7 linked regions of the Mus musculus genome follow. The protein of the gene in region 1 purifies or fractionates together with the protein of each later gene. This does not show direct contact. Links are inferred from orthologs where the notes say so. Each region holds a gene or a part of one and is shown in the gene's direction. Other genes may lie near its edges. The genes, in order: Slc39a4, Vps45, Lemd2, Abcb10, Golm1, Mgat1 and Letmd1.

Region 1 (2,188 bases):
ACCTGATACCCAAGGTCAGCCGTCACTCAACAGGGCCCCCCCCCCCCCACACTGCCCTTTTCCCAGCCTCAATCAAGCCTCTTGTAGCCCTGAAGTTCCCCAGTCAGTACTCGCCCCCTTCTCAGGTGCTGGGACTGCACACACATGGTGGAGAGGGTCACACCCATGAGGAGGAGGTGGGCGTTGGTGGGCAGGCCACCTGGCGCCTGCTGGCTGTACTTGGAGGCTTCTACATCTTCTTCCTGTTTGAGAGCTTCTTCAACCTCTTGTTGCCCAGGGACCAGGTCAGGCTCTGGGGAACCACTAGGTGGGATGGGTAAGGTCTTCACAGGCTCTGACCAGTTTTTCCACAGGATTCTGAGAAAGATGGGCCTTGTAGCCATGGTGGGCACAGCCATGGAATATCTCTGCAGCTGGCACCAAGCAATCTCCGACAGTCCAAACAGACCCATGAAAGCTCTCGTTCAGACTTGGTAAGAGGCAAGTCCTATCCCACATTGAGCCCTTTAGTTATGTATTTGCCTGGGTTCATTCTTGCTCCCGCCCCGGCGCCCCCCAGGTGGCAGAGGAGACCCCGGAACTACTGAACCCAGAGACCCGGCGACTGAGAGCAGGTGAGCCCCAGGGAGTTCCTGGGGGCACTGCAGATCTGGGGTTTGCCCTTAGGCGCGTGCAGAACCTGGCCTACAAGACCCACGCTTGCTATGCCCACAGAGCTGAGACTGTTGCCCTATCTGATCACACTGGGCGACGCGGTACACAACTTCGCTGACGGGCTCGCTGTGGGCGCCGCCTTCTCATCCTCGTGGAAGACTGGGCTGGCCACTTCATTGGCGGTGTTCTGTCATGAGCTGCCCCATGAACTCGGTGAGCTCTGGGACGTGGCTTGAAAGGGTGGGGCTTAGTGAGAAGAGCAATCTATTCTGGAGGTGACCAAGGCCAGAGAAAAAGGGACAAGGCCTTTCTATGAGAGAGGCATGTGATGGGATGGGGGTGGAGGGCGTGGCTAGATGTAGGATGGATTGCCGGACTGCCTTTGGGTGTGTCTGTCTGGGATGTGGGTGTGACAGGCATGGTGGGCTGTACCTGACCTGTGGGCAGAGTTCTCGCTGACTTGTTCCGTTCTAGGGGACTTCGCTGCTCTGCTGCATGCCGGGCTGAGTGTGAAGCGTGCGCTTTTGCTGAATCTGGCCTCAGCGCTCACAGCATTCGCAGGCCTCTACGTGGCTCTAGCAGTCGGAGTAGGCGAGGAGGGCGAGGCTTGGATTCTGGCGGTAGCAACCGGCCTCTTCCTTTACGTGGCGCTTTGTGACATGGTTAGAAAGGGGAAGAGCCTTATGTAGGGGTGGGGAGCTAACCAGGGGCTCCAACCAACTGGCAGCTGAATTGGTGCCATCTTTTCCTCAGCTCCCAGCCATGATGAATGTGCGCGACCAGCGGCCCTGGCTTCTTTTCCTGCTCCACAACGTGGGTCTGCTGGGCGGCTGGACCGTCCTGCTGCTGCTGTCATTGTACGAAGACAACATCACCTTCTGACAGCTCTATCCCATCCCAGTCCTTGTCCCTGTCTGTTGACTCTGCTTTACCTTCTTAAGCCACCTAATTGTTGGCCCCACTACGGGTAGCCAGAGGCTTTGAGCCTCATTTCCTTGCTCTGACTTCAATAAAGACTTTTCAATCAAACCCAACTACACTGTCTTCTTGTAGAGTTTCCTGGTGAAAGCTCTGGGGCAGGCCACTACCTCCATCTTCAGCGTTTGCTATGGACGGCTCCACTGGGGGTCCTGTGGACAGCCAGATTGTCTTTCCTATAATCAAACCTGGGGAACGGTCAGAGTTCTCCAGGATCTGATGGGGTCCTTGTCTCGAGTCAAAACATTACCAACGTTGCTTACAAATATGAGGGAGGGCTCATTTCTGCCATGAAGAGAAGCCTAGAAATGATCAAACCAAAGGACAACCTGTTAATGTGGAGCTCTCGGCAGAATCGGCTATTCCAAATCCCCTTGCATTAGCCTTTGGAGGTTGACATAATTGTCTACCCTAGACTAGGTGCCGAAAGAGCAGAACTTTATTCTCTCAGTTCTGGAGGCTAGAAAACCAAAGGCAAGTTTTCAATCAGGCAAAAGCAATGAATCTGGGGGGCTGGAGAGATGGTTCAGTAGTTAGAAGCACTGACTGCTCTTTC
Region 2 (3,500 bases), on another chromosome or scaffold:
CTGTGTGTACTGATCTAGTATTGTATGTAAGAGTTAAAAGAAAACCAGATTTCCCTGAGAACCTATAACTGTGTGTACTGATCTAGTATTGTATGTAAGAGTTCAAAGAAAACCAGATTTCCCTGAGAACCTATAACTGTGCGTACTGATCTAGTATTGTATGTAAGAGTTCAAAGAAAACCAGATTTCCCTGAGAACCTATAACTGTGCGTACTGATCTAGTATTGTATGTAAGAGTTCAAAGAAAACCAGATTTCCCTGAGAACCTATAACTGTGCGTACTGATCTAGTATTGTATGTAAGAGTTAAAAGAAAACCAGATTTCCCTGAGAACCTATAACTGTGTGTACTGATCTAGTATTGTATGTAAGAGTTAAAAGAAAACCAGATTTCCCTGAGAACCTATAACTGTGTGTACTGATCTAGTATTGTATGTAAGAGTTAAAAGAGAGAGCCTCTTGTTCTAAACAAAACAAAACCCCCTGTGTCCTAAAAGGAGGAGAAACTAGCTTTTACTTGTACAGCCCAGTAGAGCGGGCTTCCTCAGGGTCCTCTTGGCAAATCTGTATTTTTGTTGTTGTTTGTTTTAATTTGTTCTAGAAGTTGAAAAACCCCTTTCTTTTCCTTTTTTCTTTTATGTCTTTGGGTGTTTTGCCTGTGTATGTGTCTTTGCGCCACCTGTATGCCTGTTGTCATTGGAGGCCAGAAAGGCACTGGGTTCCCCTGGAGCTGGATTCATAGACAGCTGTGAACCACCGTATGGGTGCTAGGATCTGAACCTCAGGTCCTTTGGAAGACCAGCCAGTGTTCTTAACCACCTAACAATCTTTCCCATCCTTTGACGAATCTCTCAGGCAATAAAGCACCTTCTTCTGGGCTAGAGGCAGCTCAGTGTTAAGAGTACTGATTGCTCTTCCAGATGGCCCAAGTTCAGTTCCTGTAGGACCTGATGCCCTCTTCCTTCCAAAGACATCTACACACATGTGGCACACACACATATACACAAAATAACAAAATTTAAAGTACTCTCCTTTATTACATCTTAAATTCTTTCTTTTTTAAAAAATGTGGATGCTTTACCTAAATGTATGTTTGTGCAAAAAGAGTATGCCTGGTGCTCATGGAGGCCAGGGAGGGAGCTGAACTCCTGGGGCTGGAGCTGCAGACAGTTGGGAGCTGCCACGGGGTGCTGGGAATGGAACCTGGTCCTCAGAAGAACAGCCAGCGTTCTTAACCACTGAGCCATCTCTCCAGCCCCTTAAATTACTTCTTAATAAATTTAATTGTAAATATATGTATAAACACACCTAGGTTGTATTCTAGATGTAGTAGTAACTTGCTAAAAGATTCTTAGTTTTGTAAAAATACAGTCTCTATAATGGTGAGAAGGCAAATTTTTGGCATTTTACCTTTCTGGTTTTTAACCAAACAAAATACATTTTTGAAGGCTGTAATAAATCAATCCTTCACAATTCATACTCAGTTAAAAACATAAGACAAAATGGATCCAAGGCAAGTGTCTGATTATGCCAGTGTTTTGATTAACTCACAAGGGTTTTTCTGATAATATTAGTGTTCTCTGGATAAATATAGCACCACTCAGATCTGCAAGAACACACTTCTCAGGCAGCAGAGAACCACAGAAGCGTGCAGGAACTGGTGCAGCTTGTAACTGCACTACCAATATAGCCCTAGCTGGCAAGCCAAAAATATGCTCTTAATTCACAGGCAAAAATCAGAGCTAATGATAGCTGCAGTCACTTTCTTTCTATCAGGAGTATTAATCTTGTTGCATTTTCTCTAAAGTGTGAAATGTAAAAGTATTTTGACTGTTTGAGTGTTTAAGCAATTAAAGTGACAATCTGAATACTTACTAGAGAGCAAAGTATTAATAAAAATACAAACTAACTAGAGGAACTTGGTGTGAAGCAGGCTACTTACTAAATATGCCATTGTTCTTGGTTTCCTAAACACTTGATATTTCCATGTTTTGTCACTTGACAATTCTTTTTGTTTTGCTTCTTTAGTGGACATATCAGGCCATGGTCCATGAACTACTGGGCATAAACAACAACCGGATTGATCTTTCCAGAGTGCCAGGAATCAGCAAAGACTTAAGAGAGGTGGTCCTGTCCGCTGAAAATGATGAATTCTATGCTAATGTAGGTGCTTTAATTTTTCAGTTGTTCTTATGTAAAGTGTCAGTACTGGCGTGTGAGAATGGGACACATTGGGTCTTTGTGTGAAAGGACAGCAGGATCCTGCAGCTAGGCTGCATCTCAGAGTGGCAAAGATTTAGTGCTGGCCTTGGACATATGATCACATAGATACTGACTTCTGGTCATAGCAGCTGACTCCATTCTGGTAGCTCAGTGAGAATACTAATGGTATTCATCACAAGTGTCCTGGCTAATATCAGACTTGGTAATTAAAATGGAATTTATCTTTCAAGTCTGTTTAAAATTCTTCATTTCTCTCATGATATTAAAAAAAAAGACTAGTTTTGAACTTTATCTGACTTCCATTTTCACAGAACATGTACCTGAACTTTGCCGAGATTGGTAGCAATATAAAGAATCTCATGGAAGACTTCCAGAAGAAGAGACCAAAAGAGCAGCAAAAGCTGGAATCCATAGCAGACATGAAGGTACATCATACGCGTGGATGACTGACCTATGACTATTGATGTAGGCATCATCTCTGCAATATTCCAGGTCTCATTTCTACCAGGACTCTTTATATATGACACTTTAGACTGTTGATGGAGGCATAACTTCTGGAATAGTCCAGATCTAATTTCTACCGTGATTCTTTGCTTGTTTTTGAGTTTTGTGGAACTGGCTGGTAACTGCTATGTAACTCATGCTGGAGCTTAGGAGGTCCTGCCTTCACCTCCCAAGTGATGGAATTCCAGATGGGGGTTATCATGCCCAGCTAGCTGCTTGTTTGTGTTTGGTTTGCATCCTTCTATTTTGGTTTTGATACAGTACTTATTACTGTAGACTGTACTGTATCTGTGTAGGCCTGACTAGTCTGGAACCCATGGCAGAACTGTACCTCAGCCCTACCAAGTGCTGGAAGTCACTTTGCTTAAGTTGAGACATTTTCTGTGAGCCTTTTCTTTAATAAATAGCATGGTGACACATCCATCATAAATCATGTTAAATCTCTTTCCATTCTCAGCTAGGACTGGCCTCTATAAAGACCATAAGGGTATGGCCCATCTTTTCCTTTTTTTTGAGACCGAGTTTATTTGCATAGCCCAGGCTGTCCTGGAACTTGCTTTGTAGACTAGGCTGGCCTTGAACTCAGAGATCCACCTGCCTCTCTGCCTGTGAGTGCTGGGATCAAAAGCATGTGCCATCATGCCCAGCTTACAGTCTTTTTTACGAATGGCTAGTCTTAGTCAGAATGTAACAACATCTTCCATTAATGTTTCTTCCATGGCAGGCCTTTGTTGAAAATTATCCACAGTTCAAAAAGATGTCTGGGACTGTCTC
Region 3 (2,670 bases), on another chromosome or scaffold:
GCCCTGAACAGCGAGGCACTCAGGCCACACCGCTCCACTCATTGTGTGCGGCGCAAGTGGAGACCCAGAGTCCACACCTTGGTGGACATGAGAGCAGGAGGAGGAAGCATAGGAAACCATGTGACACGGGGCAGTGGCTGGTCCCACAGGTGCTGAGGAGGTGGCCTTGGAGTTTGGCATGCTAGTTCCAGGCACACAAGCACTGCACAGTGCTGTTGGCCCTTTGATTTGCCTGATATCAACACATTTCCCCGTGAGAACATAGCCAGAGCTGGCTTGGCACCCTGACTGCAGCCATGTCACCTAGACCTCACATGCTGGTACAGTGGTGCAGAGCTGACCTGTAGTGGGTCTGAGCCCCCGTCTGCCAGGTAAGGGCACACTTGGGGCCTCAAAGGAGACACGAGTGAGGGAGCTGATTGAAGCCACTGGTGGGTCAGGCCCTCCTGCCGACGAGGTGCTGTTTCCTGCCTCCTGGGGACCTGGCCTGAGGCTGGCACCCCATCCTCCGAGCTCTGTGTCTGTAGCATGTTGGGTAATCAGAGCATCCAAATTCCCAGCATTGTGAGGACAGGGACAAGTGATGCCTGTGAGCAGAGACACATCTTTAGGAGTCAGCCGGAGCCAATCACTGTTTTGTGGGTCCCCTTCCCAACAAAAAAGATTTCAGGACCGTGTTGGGGGTGGCTTTCCCATCTTGGTTCATCTTCACACCCGCATGTCCTCTATGCTACAAGGGGTGCATCTGAGCTAAGCACAGTCCCCACGTGGTCCTGGGTACCCATCACCGCCAGCCCCTTAGCTCTGTACCAAGGCTTGTGGCGCACAGGAGGTGAGGAAATCCCCAGTGCCTCACTTTGCCCTATCAACATGTCCACTGCTGGCTTATCCAAGTGTGGTAGAGCTTAGGAATGCCCGCCCCTCTGTGGGAATGGAGTGGTTCAGCCTGACCCAGCTGAGCGCTACCTTCTCCTTTCAGGCGGCGCATGAAGCGAGTATGGGACCGTGCTGTGGAATTCCTGGCTTCCAATGAATCTCGGATCCAGACTGAGTCCCACCGAGTGGCCGGGGAGGACATGCTGGTGTGGAGATGGACTAAGCCTTCCTCTTTCTCTGATTCAGAGCGATAGGGCAGGGCCTGTTACCGCCAGCCTGACCCAGCCACCCAGCTGGGGCAAGGACACAGACCTTTGGTGCTCATTCACACCTGCCTTGATTGCCCTCCGGGTCTCAGGTCTGGAACATGTGGGCTTACTTAGGGTAGCCGGGAGAACAGGGGAGCCCTTCCTCTATGTCAGTATTACTGACTGACAGGGGAGAGTGGCTTGTTCTCCCTGGATAAAAAGATGGGCAGTGGTTGGAACCCTGGAGGTCCTGCACACAGCTAGACAGCACGGTGATCCTGAAGCCCCTCGCTTGGAAGGTGGGTTGGGTGGTGGGGCAAAGCTTGGTCCATGTGCCTTTTCGCTTCCAGGGAGCTTAAGGGGAGGGGAGGAACCCAGCCCACTCCTGCATGGGCCTCTGTCCAGAAGGGGACGATGTTATAGAAGGTAGGAGCAGCTGGAGGGGACCAAGCAGAGGTGGCTGGGGTCTGGAAGGCGTGGGGAGTCCAGCCACAGCTGCCTGTGCCTCAGAGCTGCTCACAGGTCAGCAGTGCCACCTGAGCCAGGGTGGAGCTCAGCCTCCTCACCTACTTACTGTGCACAGGCTTCCTGGCTGCTTAGCCACACAGGTAGGGTGCAGCATCGTGGCTGCACACTGCCCTCTGCAGGCCACATGGAGTAGTGTGGGCCATTAGCCCTCGGCTATGGAGGACCTGCTCTAAATACACCCAGTGGGGGGCCTCATTAGCTGAGAGGGAGGCTTTCGAGCAACTCTTCAGGCGGGTCTCACCTACAGCAGCAGGAGGACAGCCCCTGGAGGTGACGTGCAGCTGCCTCCAGAAGACACAAGACACCCCCTTTTGGACCTATTGCTGGTCTCTGTTTCTTAATAAAGTGTGGTCTCCATGTAGCAGTATGCTCATTTCGGTCTCCGTGTAGCAGTATGCTCATTGCCGTGTGTCTGGGTGGTCAGCAGGACCGGGACTGAGCAGGCCCCAGCCAGAAGACAATGGCTTTTGTATTGGGGGTGGAACTGTTGGAAAAATAAAATATTTATTGAGAACGGATGTGGTTTTATTTGTGGTGCTTCCTCTGTCTCCCTACAGCGGAGGGCTGGACAGGGCCAGGCTGCCCTGGCCCTGGGAGTTAGGTAAGCTGCTTACAGCCACTTGAGTTGCAGGGTAGCCATGTGGACTCAGCACTGAGCCCCTGGTCCCAAGGCTCCCAGGGCTTCTGAGGGAAGCTGCACGGAGCTGGTAAGCCCTTGAAGGAGGCAGCTTCCTGTCTCTGGGCCCAGCATTGGTGATGGGCTGTGACAGAGTTGGGGTGCTTTCAGAAAGCTGCAAAACAAGCTATAGGCATTCACCTCTTAGTCCGAAAGGCTAGTGGCCCAGAAACAAGGTAACCTAGCTATGTACTGTGGTCATAGCCAGTCCTGGCCTCCTTCCTGTCCACACTTGGCCCCATCTGTGTGGACACGGGCTTGTCAGACTCCTGCCACACACACCTGCTTGGTGAGCTGTAGCGGGGCCCAGTGCACAACTCAGGAAGAAACCAGCCTGTGTGT
Region 4 (3,500 bases), on another chromosome or scaffold:
GGATGCTGGTACTGATGGAGGACCATCTCCTCCTTGGGATGCTGGTACTGATGGAGGACCATCTCCTCCTTGGGATGCTGGGATGTTGGTACTGATGGAGAACCATCTCCTCCTCCTTGTCATCACCTTCCCTGGAGCCATGGGCACAGAAGCCACTAGAGCACGGTGGCACTGAGAGATGTCACTGAGGTGGGTCAGACCCGAGGGCCAGTCTTCACACTGTGCTTCACACTGCTCCCAAGAAAAGGTGACACCTCAATTAAGGTCGCACAAGACCTTACATGATAAGCCCAGCATCTAGGCCTGTTTCTGTTCACTTCAGTCAGGCAAGGGAGACACCCACAGGGAGGCAGGGGCATTCTGCCCTGAGCTCCATTCTTCTCACTTTGGCTTTCTGCCTTCCCTCTTGTGTTTCAGAGGGGATGGTGTTAGATGAGAAAACCTTCCAGGGTGCCCTGGAGTTCAGAAACGTGCACTTCACATACCCTGCTCGCCCAGAGGTGTCCGTATTCCAGGATTTCAGTCTTTCCATCCCATCTGGATCTGTCACAGCGCTGGTTGGCCCAAGTGGTTCTGGGAAATCAACAGTGGTTTCGCTCCTGCTGCGGTTGTACGACCCTAATTCTGGTAGGTGGCTAGTGACAGTGTGGGCAGAGGCATCTCTGAGCTGTCAGTGACTTCTCCTGATGCCTGTTCCCACCCCATGCCTAGGAGAGACCACATCTGACAACACTTTCCCATATTCCTACCCTTGGAAATGGGTCAGCAAGACTGCCCAGCAGCACCCAGCAAATACCTTCTGGTGCCAGCAGCCATGGGTGCTGTGGACTGTCCCATACCCACACTGGAACTCTGCTGACATGTGCTGACATAGCAATTCTGGATTTCAAGAGGCCTTCTGATGGCTTCTGCCTCAGGGCTGTTCCTTGACTGTTTTTTTAGGGTCTTCTGTGTCCAGACCAGACAGTTTAGATTTATTTTGTATGTTCTGCCTGCATGTGTGCCTGTAGACCAGAAGAGGGTTAGGGTTAGGGTTAGGTTAGGGTTAGGGTTAGGGGGTTAGGGGGTTAGGGTTAGGGTTAGGGTTAGGGGGTTAGGGTTAGGGTTAGGGTTAGGGTTAGGGTTAGGGTTAGGGTTAGGCAGACCTCATTATGGATGGTTGTGAGCCACCATGTGGTTGCTGGGAATTGAACTCAGGCCTCTGGAAGGACAGTCAGTGCTCTTAACGGTTGAGCTATCCCTCCAGCCTCTTCCTTGGCTGTGTACTTAGCAAGTATGAGACTGTCTCATCCATTCGTGAGGTATGTATGTATGTGCACTGTTCTGCAGTCTTAGACGGGGCTGCTGAAGAGACTCCAGTTTAAACTTGCAGAACATTGTAGACCTCCATCCCTGAACTGGGCCTTCATGGTCTCTTCTGATACCAGCATGATCAGGAGACTGCAGTCAGGAGACTGCCATCAGAACTGCTAGCCAGTGCACACTGTGTTTTCCTCCCCTGTCCCACACACTTCTCTTTGGAATCAAGGCGCTGCATAAGACTTCAGATTCATGGAACACCAACACTGCCAGGTAGCCTAGCTGCCAGCACCTCCAAACTCAGGAGGGGGGGGCTGGCTAGCCTCCCATCCACTAGGGGAGGTCCTAGCTTCAGACATTCCAGAAGGCTCCTGTTGCTCTGAAAGTCCCAGCCTTGTTGGTTTTGAGTTCCATATGGACATTATGGAAGTTGATTTTCTTCGGTGGTTGGGACAGAACCCAGGCCCTTGCATATGCTAAGCGAGTGTTTCACCACTAGCTACACTGGAGTCCTGACCCTGTGTTTAGTCTTTAAAGGTTGCCTGGGGGTTGGGATGCGGATCAACTGGTTACTGTTTATTTAGTATGCAAAAAAAAAAAAAAAAATCTGGATTTGGGCCAGGCAGTGATGGCGCACGCCTTTAATCCCAGCACTTGGCAGGCAAAGGCAGGCAGATTTCTGAGTTTGAGGCCAGCCTGGTCTACAGAGTGAGTTCCAGGACAGCCAGGGCTGCACAGAGAAACCCTGTCTCAAAAAAAAAAAAAAAATTCTGGATTTGCTCCCCAGTACAGTCTTAGTGGGAGAGGGGTCAAATAACGGCACAGTCCTCCCAGGTAGGTAGACTGAGAAAGGAGGGTGAGTTGGGGGTCATCCTCGGCTGCACAGGGAGTCTGCAGTTGACTGACTACATGAGCTCCTGCCTCAGTAAGGGAGGGAAGAGGGAGCAGTGAGTCTGGGATTCCCCCTCCTTTTAGGGTTCACTTTGGTTATCACCCTTGACCTGTGGTGACCTCTGCCTTCTCCCTCCCATCAGGAACAGTCAGCCTTGATGGCCATGACATTCGTCAGCTAAACCCCGTCTGGCTGAGATCCAAGATTGGGACAGTGAGTCAGGTAGGAAGACGGGTTTCCCTTACTTCCCTCTCGCTCGCTCGCTCACCTTGTTGGAGCTGTGGTCCCTTGGCTTTGCCTCCATCTCGTGTTCTCCAGAGTGGGACAGAGGCTTCCAGATGGATCGCACCACTCCACACACATTCCACACACACCCACTCCACAGATACACTCCACACACACCACTCCACACACACACTTCACACACACACCATTCCACACACACACACTCCACACACACCACTCCACACACACACTTCACACACACACCACTCCACACATACCACTCCACACACACCTCTCCACACAAACCTACTCCACACACAGCACTCCATACACACCCACTCCACACACAGACAGTTTCCTATGGCCCAGGGACTCAACACAATCAGTTGAAATGCTGACTTTCTATTAAGAGCTGAGACTGGCGTTCCTGTGCAGCACTGGGGGGCTGGAGGAAGGACCGGGAGAAACTCTTGCTGTCCTTCACAGTTCCCCTGTGTGTCCATAGGAAGCAAGTGCGGTTCCTTTTCACGGAGCTCCTTGCACAAGACTGCGTGGAGCAACAACTGTATCCCAGCCAACTCTTTTACCACTGTGCACCCTGTGGTCACGCCCATGCCTCCCATTCCCACTCTTGATTGGGACTTCTGCACTAGGATGGATAGATGGCACAACCCTGGTACTGATTAGACCTCAGCAATGTGTGTCATGAGGGCAGAGGACTAGAGACTGCTGTGCTATGTGGGGCTGGCAGTCAGGATGTTATGGTGGTGTCTGGTTCTTTGTCAGAAAGCAATGGGTGGACTTGGGCCCTTTGTCTGTATTGGAAGGTAGGTAGTCGAACTTAGGTCTTCTAGGCCTTGCTAGCCTTAGGGAAGGGGCTGAGATTTATAAGGTTGTCATGGGCCGGCAATTGTAGGCACCCATGTTGGGGACTCCTTCCCACAGTGTAGTGAAGACAACAGGACAACAGATCATTTTGGTCTTCTTCATGGTAAGCTGGGACCTTTTTTTTTTTTTGAGACAGGGTCTCTCTGTGTAGTCCTGGCTGTCCTGGAACTCACTTTGTAGACCAGGCTGTCTTCTC
Region 5 (3,500 bases), on another chromosome or scaffold:
AGAGAGAGAGCTCACATGGTTGCCTTCCTGTGGATACTGAAGATGGATGTGGTCTGCTTCGGGGATGCTAGGCTTAGTGTGGAAACTCATGCGTTTTTTATTTGGCAGGTTCTCGGCCCTGGTTCTAAGATGATGGGATTGGGGAATGGGCGTCGCAGCATGAAGTCTCCGCCCCTTATCCTGGCTGCCCTGGTGGCCTGTGTTATTGTGCTAGGCTTCAACTACTGGATTGCTAGCTCGAGAAGCGTGGAACTCCAGGTATGTTGTGTCTTTAGAGTGTACGAACCACTGAGTGTTCAAACCAGCTGAGGCACCATGCCATGGGTCCCCTGTGTATTGTCAGCCGGTACCCTGGGTTCCAACACCGTGTGCTAGCGGTGTTTTAGCTCTCCACACCAGCCCCCTCCCCGAAGCAGGTCCCTCCCTCCAGCCCAGCACCACTTCCTCTGTGACTACTGAGTTGCGCTTTGCTTTCCATTGAGCGTTTAGGGCAGACGGGAATGTTGGCTGGCAGAGGTGAACTGGACACTGCCCATTCCTGTCTGTCAGTCCACTGGAGAAACCAAGGGCCACATGGGTGGTAATTTTAGGTTTCCCACATATTATGGCCAATCGTAAATGAGGCCATGGTTGGGTTTGTTATCACTGCTTGGTTTGGTTTGGTTTTAAAACGTCGTCCATGAAGAGGGGACCACGGTTGAGAAAATGCTTCCATAATACGGGCCTGTGGGCAAACCTGTGGGCCTTTGTTAGCGACTGATGTGAGTGAGCCTATCCCAGTGTGGGGTGCAGATATTGACAAGGCAGTTCGTGCCACCCCTGGGCAGTTGTACAGAAGGAAAGCCGGCTGAGCAAGCCAGCAGGAACAAGTCAGTAGGCAGCACTCCTCTGTGGTTTCTGCTTCAGCTCCTGTCACGAGGCTCCTGCCAGTCTGAGTTCCTGCCTTAGCTTCCCTCAAAGATGGGCTGTGACCAGGACGGTTCAGCCAAATCAACCCTTTCCTCCCCAGGTGGCTTTCGGTGGTGATGTTTATCATAGCAATGGGAGGGAACCCTATCTAAGACATGGAACGATGACAGTCTCTCATTGGTCTCCTCTGAGGCCTCCTGTTCCTTAGGTTGTGATTGTTGTCTTTGATCTGCCCAGCCTCACCCTGCAGAGAACATGTTCACCCCTCCCCTTGATGGCTAGGTCATTGGCTGCCTCTGGCAAGTGTCCACCGCAAGTACTTTAGCAAGTCCCCCTGCCCCTGTGTCCTCCGGGTAATCTTCCATCCACCACCCCTTCCCTTGTCCTGCTCTCCACTGGGCCGTAAGCTTTGGTCCCATGACGCCTTGGTTGAGGGAGCTGGCAGCGTCTCAGCTGGCGGCTTGGATCTTCATGGCTGTGGCCGTGTCTTCCTTCTAGACGCGCATTGTAGAGCTGGAAGGCCGGGTCCGCAGGGCGGCTGCAGAGAGAGGTGCTGTAGAGCTCAAGAAGAATGAGTTCCAGGGCGAGCTGCAGAAGCAGAGAGAGCAACTTGACAGGATCCAGTCTAGCCACAGCTTCCAGCTGGAGAATGTCAACAAGCTACACCAGGATGAGAAGGTAAGGCCGACCGCTTCCCCATCGCCCTCTCCCGAGTGACACCTCCTACCTCTCTGTATTCATCTGGGTGTAAGCCTTGTGTCATTGCATGGAGGTGTGAGCAGGCTACTGCGGTGGCTAGTTGTTGGTCTGCTCTCTATGGCTCAGTAGCCACCAGCCATGTGAGGCTATTGAAGGCTTGAACCGTGACTCAATTTAATTTAATTTTAACTAACTGAAATTAAGTTGTCAAATATGTTCAGTGACTGCAGAATTTACTGGTGTGAGTTGGTAGGGGAGCTATCTTGGGCTGAAGTTTTGGGAGTTGTGTTCCAGGGTCAAGCAGACCCCTGCGTAGGTCCTGGGAGCTGCTTGCTTTCCTTCCTTTCTCAGTGAGAGTCACAGGTATGGTTGAGTACCCCATCTGATATCTGATATCTGAGGTGTGCCACATTCTGAAACTTTTTAAGCACCTGACTCACGCAGGTGTGGATTTAGGGACACTTTGGATGCCGTATTTTTTGGTGAGGTATGAATGAGTCAAGTTCGTGTAAATATGCTAAAATCTGGAAAACCTTGATCCTGTAATACAAGCGGCCCTAGCGGAGTGGGTAGCGAAAGGTGAGCCCCCGAGAGTCTCCCAGCTTGCTGGTCAGCTGCTGGGTTATCAGTCCGTCTGTCAGATTCTCTGCTGTTCATGCCATGGTGGGGTCCCCTGAGAGCTCATGGGGAAACAAAGCAATACAAGCCCTGCCCCAGACTCTTTGGGAGTCAGGGCTCAAAGACTAAGTTCTAGAAGATTGGCCACACGTTCCTGTGTCCCCACATTTTGTCTAGACTCGCAAATCATACCATGGAGCCCTATCAGCTGACCCAGAGGTTGCAGTGTGAGATCAAGTGTGCGTGGCATTGCAGCTAAGGAGAGAACCGGGCTCTGTGTTCTCGGCGTTTTGCCTTTTCCTAACCAAGTAAAGTTTTCTTTGTTCATCTGTTTGTTTTTCAAGGCTGGGTTTCTCTGTGTAGCCCTAGGTGTCCTGGAACTAGCTTCGTAGATCAGGCTGCCTTCAAACTCACCACTTCTCAGCACTGAGAGAATGATTTAAAAGTAAAAGCCAGTATGGTTAAAGATTCCTTTAAATGATTTGGGGAAAAAAATGTTGAACTAAACTATTTTTTAAAGATTTTCATATTTTATTTTATGTGTTTGACTGTTTTTCCTGCATGTAAGTGCTCCAGCTATGTGCCCGGTATCCCCAGAGGCCAAAAGAGGGCACTAAATGCCCTGGAACTGGAGTTAGAGATGGTTGTGAGCTGCCAGGTCTGTATTGGAAACTGAACTCAGGTCCTCTGTAGGAGCAGCCACCCCGATCTTAATTGCCGAACCATCTTTCGAGCCCCTGAACTAAGCTATATTTATTCACACTTGCTGGAATTGGTGGAGGCCATGACAGCTTAGAGCCTTTCTGTCCACCTTGTGCCTTTCTCCCAGATTGCTGCCCTGCCCAGAATTTGAATAAGGTTGGGTCTTGGGGTCCTTAGCCCTGAAACCGGCTTGCTCAGGATTCTGTGACATGGACCAGGGCATTGAGAAGATACGAGGTACCACTTGAGAAGCTCTGGAGGACCCAGCAGTCATCTCACACGTGTGTGCTCCACCCAAATGTTATATATACATTCAGACAGGGTCTTTGTATTTCAGGACACCTGAGAATCTGTGTCCTACTGCCCCTGCTTCTCAAATGGTGGGATTACAGGTTGTTAATCTCCCTGGGCAAGAATGAGACCACTACCACAATTTTTAAGCCAAATTTGAACCAAGCTTTATTAAATACTGACCAGGGCAATGGACACCACCCAGGCTTATACCTAGGATTCCCAGGGAATGGCTGCCAGTCACATTAGTCTGGTGCTTATAAAGGCAAAACCCACAAAGC
Region 6 (2,976 bases), on another chromosome or scaffold:
TCTCTCTCCCCCTCTTTAGGTACATGGCTTCTTCCTACTCTCAGCCTAGAAGAATAAACCCTTAGTGTGGGGACCTGAGCCAGGCAAGCCAAAGGCAGCCTTGAGCCCTCCCTCCCCTGCCCTCCCCTGCGGGGGCCAGGATGCTGAAGAAGCAGACTGCAGGGCTTGTGCTTTGGGGTGCTATCATCTTTGTGGGCTGGAATGCCCTGCTGCTTCTCTTCTTCTGGACACGCCCAGCACCTGGCAGGCTGCCCTCAGACAGCGCCCTTGGTGATGACCCTGCCAGCCTCACCCGTGAGGTCATCCACCTGGCCGAGGACGCTGAGGCGGAGTTGGAGCGGCAGAGGGGACTGTTGCAGCAAATCAAGGAGCATTATGCTTTGTGGAGGCAGAGGTGGAGAGTTCCCACTGTGGCCCCTCCAGCCTGGCCCCGTGTGCCTGTGACCCCCTCACCAGTGCAGATCCCCATCCTGGTCATTGCCTGTGACCGCAGCACTGTCCGGCGCTGCTTGGATAAGTTGTTGCACTATCGGCCCTCAGCTGAGCGTTTCCCCATTATTGTCAGTCAGGACTGTGGGCATGAAGAGACAGCACAGGTCATTGCTTCCTATGGCACTGCAGTCACACACATCCGGCAGCCGGACCTGAGTAACATTGCCGTGCAGCCAGACCACCGCAAGTTCCAGGGTTACTACAAGATTGCCAGGCACTACCGCTGGGCACTAGGCCAGATCTTCAACAAGTTCAAGTTCCCGGCCGCTGTGGTAGTGGAGGATGATCTGGAAGTGGCACCAGACTTCTTTGAGTACTTCCAGGCCACCTACCCACTGCTGAGAACAGACCCCTCCCTTTGGTGTGTGTCTGCTTGGAATGACAATGGCAAGGAGCAGATGGTAGACTCAAGCAAACCTGAGCTGCTCTATCGAACAGACTTTTTTCCTGGCCTTGGATGGCTGCTGTTGGCTGATCTGTGGGCAGAGCTGGAGCCCAAGTGGCCCAAGGCCTTTTGGGACGACTGGATGCGCCGACCTGAGCAGCGGAAAGGACGGGCTTGTATTCGTCCAGAAATTTCAAGAACTATGACCTTTGGTCGCAAGGGTGTGAGCCACGGGCAGTTCTTTGACCAGCATCTTAAGTTCATCAAGCTGAACCAGCAGTTCGTCCCCTTCACCCAGTTGGACCTGTCGTACCTGCAGCAGGAGGCCTATGACCGGGACTTCCTCGCCCAGGTCTATGGTGCCCCCCAGCTACAGGTGGAGAAAGTAAGGACCAATGATCAGAAGGAGCTGGGGGAGGTGCGGGTACAGTACACTAGCAGAGACAGCTTCAAGGCCTTTGCTAAGGCCCTGGGTGTCATGGATGACCTCAAGTCTGGTGTCCCCAGGGCTGGCTACCGTGGCATTGTCACTTTCCAGTTTCGGGGCCGGCGTGTGCACCTGGCACCCCCACAGACATGGACTGGCTATGATCCTAGCTGGAATTAGCAGCACCTGCCTTTCCCTCCTGGGTCTCCTTGCCGCGTGCTGAGCCGAGGCAGGCCTGCAGGGCCTGGGCTACACCATCCTGCCAGTGTCTCCCTCTCAGTGTCTCCCTCTTGGATCTGTAGATCTTCCCTTTGTGTCCTGGCCAGCCCCCAAATGGCATTCTAGTGCACAAATCATAGGATGAGAGTTATACTCCTGTTGTCAAGGGAGTATTGTGTGGTATGTTCGGGGCATATTGAACAAGAAACCACTGTGTGGTATGGGGAGGGTTGGGCCTGTTGGGGCCAGGTTTGTAATGTCTCCAAGGGCATCTGCAGAGAGCTTGGCAGCTCCAGCTCTCCTCAGCAGGCCTCTCCACCCTGATCTGGCCCCTGTTAGCCCATGAGCCCTCTTTATGTACCCATCCTCCCTTTCTGAACCTTCCCTCAGGGTGGGGCTGGATTATGGAGGAAGGAATGGATCTTTGGTCAGATGAGACTAACAGAGGGACTCACTGTCAGAGTTAGCGTGGATTGCTGCTGCCGGGGCACTACCTCCTGGCTTCTCTCCCTGCTGACGTGGCTCTTGTCCTGGAGCAGAGCAGTGCGTTGTTGGGAGATGGAAAGTCTATGCGTGGGTACCCTGTCTTCTTGCCTGTGGCCCCCCTCCTTTCTGAAAGTTAGTTCTCTCCGCATTCTTTAGGAGGATTCAGGGGCGGCCTAGTGGAAGACAGTGGGCTCCATGCCTCTTTCCCCTGGGGTTTGCTTCAGGGGCTCCTCCCCGAGGGCTTGCTCCTGGTGGCAGCAGCTGAGATCAGGACATCTGTGGCCCTGAGCCGGCTCTGGTCCTCGGCCTTTCCCAGCCTTCCCACATCTTCCCAGGCCAAGATGCAGGGGGCAGGCTGAAGAGAAATTTGTGTGTCCTTGTTTGTTGCCTGATCTTAGTTTCATGGAAGAAAATGGAATCTACAGAATTATTTTCAAAAATAAAGTAAAGGCTGAATTGCTGAAAAATAAGTGTGTGTGTGTGTCCTAGGGAAGGAGGCGAAGGGGTGGGGGAGGGGTTGGCAAAGGGAGAGAGGAAAGTCTACAGGACAGAAAGCAAGTGGACACCTCGAGGAAAGAGAATGAGAAGAAAAATAGGGTTGGGGGGAGTTTGGGGGACAGGGACAGTTGAGGATGGGGCCAGGTGAGGTAGCAAGGCCAGCTTGTGAGGAGGGCCCTAGGTTGCGGGCCTGCTGGTAATCTCAAGCTGGCCACAGGCTCCTCAGTTGGCAAGTAAGTCTGGGAGTGGTCTGCAAAACAGAAATAGAAAACCCTGGCATCTGAACGTTCCACGTTGTGCCGCATACCCTTTGCTGGCTCAGGCAGCGTCTGTTGGGCAACTCCGAAAGCTGCCAGTGAGCCCAGGGTTTGTAGTGCATATGTGGCAGGCTATGCAGTGGCACCTAAGGCTCCTGGTCAGGATAATGACAACCAGAGTATGTCTGTCCCACCCTCAGAGTTGACTGAAA
Region 7 (4,300 bases), about 24 Mb from region 1:
AGCTGGCCTCCGAGATTCTGGACATTTTCCTATTTCTACCTCTCACCTTCCCCACTGCAGTGCTGGGATTATAAATGTACGCACTGTGGGCTGGACAGAGAGAGACAGACAGAGACTGAGCTTGTGTGCACACACACTCGTTACCTGTATGTCAGTGGAAGGGGAATGGAAGAAGAAATACTCAGCAGCTATGTGAGGAAATGAATCCGTAGAATCCGTATCACATTTTTTCTTTTTGTAGTTTGTGTACATGTTTGCGCATGCCTGGTGTTGGATATGCACATATCTTTTTTTTTTTTTTTTGGACAGGGTCCCCTCTAACCCTGTAACTTGCTAACTTGGCTAGACTGGCTGGCTAGCAAGTGCCAGGGCTCCTCCTGCCTGGGTCTCAGCTCTAAAGAAGCTCCGGGTTCCCCTGCACAGAGGCCAGGACGTGGGTGTGTTGGGGGTGGGGTGGGGAGGCGGTCATAGGCACAGACCACCGTGCCCAGCTTTTGGCGTTAGAGTCAGGGATTGAACTCAGGTCCTTAAGCTTACTCAGCACTTTACCCAGGACGACCTCCCCCCCCCCGCCCCCCCCCCCACACCCTGGACTACACAAAATGCCCTCCCTTTAGTTTGTTCTCCCAGGCAGTGCCTTTCCATTTCTGTTAGAAAACCGTCTGTGACTGCGCTCGTGTCTCCTGGGAGTTCTATTAGCGAGCCGGAGACACCGTAGTTGAGGGACTTAGAAGCTACCTGAGAACCGAGAGAACCCATCTTTTGGTCATTTTCTATCCTACCTACCTACCTCCTCTTGCAGAGAACAGCTTTGCAACTGTTCAAACCACCAGCCCTCCAAACACGGAGATGTTCTACAGACGTGGGAGCTTTTGCAAACATGCAAACATTTCATCCTTCGATCTTCACAGAATTCTGCAACACAGGTACAACCCACATGAAGTTCACCGAAGTGACCTGTCCAAGGTCCCCCACACTAAACCTGACTGCAGACGCATGGCTTCAGCGTGCTTCACGTCCGTTAAAATGCCTATGGACACAAGAGGGCCGTCGACTCTCGCGGACAGCTGGACGCCTAGAAACCCTTCCGAGTTTCAAGTAGTCATTTCTCCAAAAAATATCCACCGCGCACCTACTCCGTGACAAGGGCGCGTGAGGACCAGAAAGCGAGGGTTGGAAAGGGGTTCTACACCTGCCGCCAGATTGATGGAGGGCGGAGCCCTGCCGGCCGCCGCCACTAGAGGGCGCAGCGCCACCCCGCGCCGCCGCCATCGGGGCCACGACCCCGGGCTCCCACAGAGGTCAAGGGCAGCGCCCGCGGCCCCGAGCCCCCAGGGACCGACGAGGGCACTGGGTTCCTCAAGGAGACGCCGTCCTCGGCTCACGATAGCGACCTCAGGCTGGGCCGGCGCTCGCTCCCTCGGGGAGGCTCGCTTCCGGTCCTGCGCGCGGAAGCGTCGCCGCGTCCAATCCGGGTCCCCGCCCGGGCTCGCCCGGGGGGCGCGGGGCGGCTCGCAGCCGCCTGTCGGCGTGGAGGGGCGGCGCGTGCGTGCTGCGGGGCGCACTCTGACCCGGAGACGACCTCTCTCCGCGCTCCCTCCCCTGCTGTGAAGATGGCGCTGTCCAGGGTGTGCTGGGCTCGGGCTGCTCTGTGGGGTTCGACTGTCGCCCCTGGACCCTTTGTCACCCGGAGGCTGCAGCTGGGCCGCTCTGGCCCTGCGTGGCGAGCCCCTCGGTGAGGGCCCTGGAGAAAGAAGAGCATTTTTGATGTAGAAGCCCTTCCAGCGGCTCAGCCTCCGCCTCTCGGGATCCCCTGCCTTGGGCCCTGGGTTTTGCTTTTCCATGCAGGATTCCCACCGAACGCCCGTCCCTGTCCCTCTCCGTACTCCGTGTCCACCCGATTGTCCCCGCACATCCTGAGCTCATCTTTCAGCTTCCCCTTCCCATCTCTCCATGGCTTCAGCTTGCATTCTCCTGGCCCCGCAGGCTTTGCGCACGCTCCACGCTCACACCTTTCTGCATGATCTGCCCCTCTCATACCAACCCTAACCCTGAGCTTGGGTTTTCAGAAGAGTTCTGGCAATCGCTCTCAGAAACCGTATGTTTACCGAGGGGTCCTACGTACCGAATGGCTTCTACTCCTTCGCAGATAGTCTCTTTGGTCTTCGTTGTAGGTCTTCAAAGCTTCACCTTTCTCCGAAGGCGGACGTGAAGAACTTGATTTCTTACGTGGTGACCAAGACAAGAGCGATTAACGGATCGTACCATCGTTTCTTGGGGCGTCATTTCCCCCGCTTCTATGCCTTATACACAACCTTCATGAAAGGTAAACGCTAACATTGAGAAGCCCGAATCTGCTCTTCTGCGTTAGTCACAGTCAGTGAGATTGCAATGTGCCGGGTCCGCTGCTGCGCTGTGAGTTGGGATGTCTTCTCTTCCGTCAGGGTTTGAGCATGAATTCTTACAAATTGTCACTGCCACCTCTTAAATATCCAGATGGATGTTATGGTAGACAAATCCTGACATCACTCGAGAGAGAGCAGAAGATGTAAATATATTCTCATTTCCTTAGAAATTCCTTGTCCTGCTCAGTGCAGACCAGACCCAGGGATTGTTATCATAAGGAAACCAGATTAAATGCTTTGTTTTAAACTCCTTAACACCAGGGCGTCATGGTCGATTAACCCTGAGAGCTCCCCAGCCAGGTAGTAACTCGCTGCTTCGTGGGGCGTGTTTATCACGTGGCCAGCTTAGATAACTTGTAGTGGAAATAGAACTGTAGACACTTGGTTTCTGAATGCTTCCACTCAAAGTGGAGGTCCGCTAGCTATGTTGAGATGATACCTATAATGTCACATGACAGCCCTGGAACCAAAATGCCGGATTCAAATCCCATTTGTGACTTAGACTGTGCACTGGCGCTAGTGACACTTACAGGGTCTTTGGTGTCTCATCTGTAAGGAGGTACTAGAACCTACCTGCTGATTACCTAGTTATGATTATTATTTAGTCATCTAGGAAGAGTGTAGCTCGGGCTGGCCTGGGGCTTTCTGTGTAGTGGAGGATGACCTTGAATTTCTGGTCTCTCTGCCTGCTGGGATGGTAATGCTGAGTGAGCCACCACACCTAATGGTGAAGAGTAGATCAACATATTTAAAAGGCTTAGAACATGGCCTCATTTATTTTAGTATGACAGCTCTATACCAAGTGTCCAATATGTGTTAACTTTTTCTATTGTTGTATTCTATACTTTTATCCACTAATAAAAAAAAATAGAACGTTGCCAACTCTGAATCTTACTCTAATCATTAGCGTCATGGAGTTTATCTAAGAAGTGGAGGTAACAATGGCTGCCTTGTTAGCCACGGGGGTTCTGTGTCTTACAGCCCCACAACCCAGCATCCCAAGGCAGGAGAATCAGGAGGTCTAGGCCAGCCTCAGCTACACAGCAAGGCTGTAACAACAAAAACAACAAACCCCCTCGAAACAAAATACTTAACGACCACCAATCATAGACACATATATGCCTTGTGTTATTTGAAGCCAACCTAGATAACATTTTGGAAGCATTAGAAGTGATTTTATTCATTTTATTTGTGTGACTGTCTTGCCTACATGCGTATCCGTGTGCTGTGTGCATGCCTAGTGCTCTCTGAGGTCAGAAAGCATTAGATGCCCTCGAGCATGTGTTCTGGATAGTTGCGAACCACCATGTGGGTGCTGGGAACCGAACCTAGGTCCTAGGTGACTGCAAGAGCAGTAAATGTTTAAACCTGAGTCATCATCTCTCCAGCCCTGGAAATAGGTTTTTTTTTTTTTTAAAAAACTAGAAAAACAAGGATTATCATAGATGGAAGATTCAGAATGGAATCATAGCAATATATCAAATCATGCAGCTTATAAACATGCCCCAGAAAGCAGCAAGTTAGTATCTAGCTGGGATGCACATAGCTCAAGTTTAAAGCCAAGCAATGAGTAATTCAGCTGGGTTATGTGCTAGGGGAAAGGATGGGGGGGGCGGGTCTGCGAGGCACAAGCTTCCTTGTCGGTAGAGCCGGGGAGGGGCCGGTGTGTGTGCATGTGAGTGACCACGGTAGGCGATTCAAACCGGGATAACACCACGTTCTGTCCTCCACTTTAATGGGGCAGGAATACAGATGTTATGGGCTGATGGCAAAAAGGCTAGAAGAATAAAGGCAGACATGTGGAAACAAAACCTAAAGTTTCATCAACTCTCTTACCGGGAGATGGAGCATTTGAGACAGGTACGGGCCGGGGACAAACACCCAGAAGCTCTCAG

What was found.
Region 2: the proteins of Slc39a4 (region 1) and Vps45 purify together in Homo sapiens (affinity purification with mass spectrometry; 3 studies listed by BioGRID and IntAct, counting the BioPlex papers as one, with this or other methods). This does not show direct contact. The link is inferred for Mus musculus from reciprocal best matches to the Homo sapiens genes SLC39A4 and VPS45.
Region 3: the proteins of Slc39a4 (region 1) and Lemd2 purify together in Homo sapiens (affinity purification with mass spectrometry; 3 studies listed by BioGRID and IntAct, counting the BioPlex papers as one, with this or other methods). This does not show direct contact. The link is inferred for Mus musculus from reciprocal best matches to the Homo sapiens genes SLC39A4 and LEMD2.
Region 4: the proteins of Slc39a4 (region 1) and Abcb10 purify together in Homo sapiens (affinity purification with mass spectrometry; 3 studies listed by BioGRID and IntAct, counting the BioPlex papers as one, with this or other methods). This does not show direct contact. The link is inferred for Mus musculus from reciprocal best matches to the Homo sapiens genes SLC39A4 and ABCB10.
Region 5: the proteins of Slc39a4 (region 1) and Golm1 purify together in Homo sapiens (affinity purification with mass spectrometry; 3 studies listed by BioGRID and IntAct, counting the BioPlex papers as one, with this or other methods). This does not show direct contact. The link is inferred for Mus musculus from reciprocal best matches to the Homo sapiens genes SLC39A4 and GOLM1.
Region 6: the proteins of Slc39a4 (region 1) and Mgat1 purify together in Homo sapiens (affinity purification with mass spectrometry; 3 studies listed by BioGRID and IntAct, with this or other methods). This does not show direct contact. The link is inferred for Mus musculus from reciprocal best matches to the Homo sapiens genes SLC39A4 and MGAT1.
Region 7: the proteins of Slc39a4 (region 1) and Letmd1 purify together in Homo sapiens (affinity purification with mass spectrometry; 3 studies listed by BioGRID and IntAct, counting the BioPlex papers as one, with this or other methods). This does not show direct contact. The link is inferred for Mus musculus from reciprocal best matches to the Homo sapiens genes SLC39A4 and LETMD1.

The regions. Positions count from the first base shown.
Region 1 is NC_000081.6:76,611,883-76,614,070, reverse strand, and holds the end of Slc39a4 (zinc transporter ZIP4 precursor), read left to right. Parts: coding exon 1-14; intron 15-125; coding exon 126-284; intron 285-353; coding exon 354-473; intron 474-559; coding exon 560-614; intron 615-714; coding exon 715-867; intron 868-1,128; coding exon 1,129-1,316; intron 1,317-1,407; coding exon 1,408-1,536; 3' UTR 1,537-1,688; downstream 1,689-2,188. UniProt on the Homo sapiens protein: Selective transporter that mediates the uptake of Zn(2+). Plays an essential role for dietary zinc uptake from small intestine. The Zn(2+) uniporter activity is regulated by zinc availability.
Region 2 is NC_000069.6:96,041,456-96,044,955, reverse strand, and holds part of Vps45 (vacuolar protein sorting-associated protein 45), read left to right. Parts: intron 1-2,027; coding exon 2,028-2,162; intron 2,163-2,533; coding exon 2,534-2,647; intron 2,648-3,450; coding exon 3,451-3,500. UniProt on the Homo sapiens protein: May play a role in vesicle-mediated protein trafficking from the Golgi stack through the trans-Golgi network.
Region 3 is NC_000083.6:27,189,100-27,191,769, reverse strand, and holds the end of Lemd2 (LEM domain-containing protein 2), read left to right. Parts: intron 1-979; coding exon 980-1,130; 3' UTR 1,131-2,170; downstream 2,171-2,670. UniProt on the Homo sapiens protein: Nuclear lamina-associated inner nuclear membrane protein that is involved in nuclear structure organization, maintenance of nuclear envelope (NE) integrity and NE reformation after mitosis.
Region 4 is NC_000074.6:123,959,123-123,962,622, reverse strand, and holds part of Abcb10 (ATP-binding cassette sub-family B member 10, mitochondrial precursor), read left to right. Parts: intron 1-417; coding exon 418-627; intron 628-2,333; coding exon 2,334-2,413; intron 2,414-3,500.
Region 5 is NC_000079.6:59,662,285-59,665,784, reverse strand, and holds part of Golm1 (Golgi membrane protein 1), read left to right. Parts: intron 1-108; 5' UTR 109-129; coding exon 130-258; intron 259-1,407; coding exon 1,408-1,587; intron 1,588-3,500.
Region 6 is NC_000077.6:49,260,552-49,263,527, forward strand, and holds the end of Mgat1 (alpha-1,3-mannosyl-glycoprotein 2-beta-N-acetylglucosaminyltransferase), read left to right. Parts: intron 1-19; 5' UTR 20-140; coding exon 141-1,484; 3' UTR 1,485-2,476; downstream 2,477-2,976. UniProt on the Homo sapiens protein: Initiates complex N-linked carbohydrate formation. Essential for the conversion of high-mannose to hybrid and complex N-glycans.
Region 7 is NC_000081.6:100,467,511-100,471,810, forward strand, and holds the start of Letmd1 (LETM1 domain-containing protein 1), read left to right. Parts: upstream 1-1,500; 5' UTR 1,501-1,613; coding exon 1,614-1,735; exon of another isoform or gene 1,736-2,174; coding exon 2,175-2,326; intron 2,327-4,149; coding exon 4,150-4,265; intron 4,266-4,300. UniProt on the Homo sapiens protein: Plays an essential role for mitochondrial structure and function, as well as thermogenesis of brown adipocytes.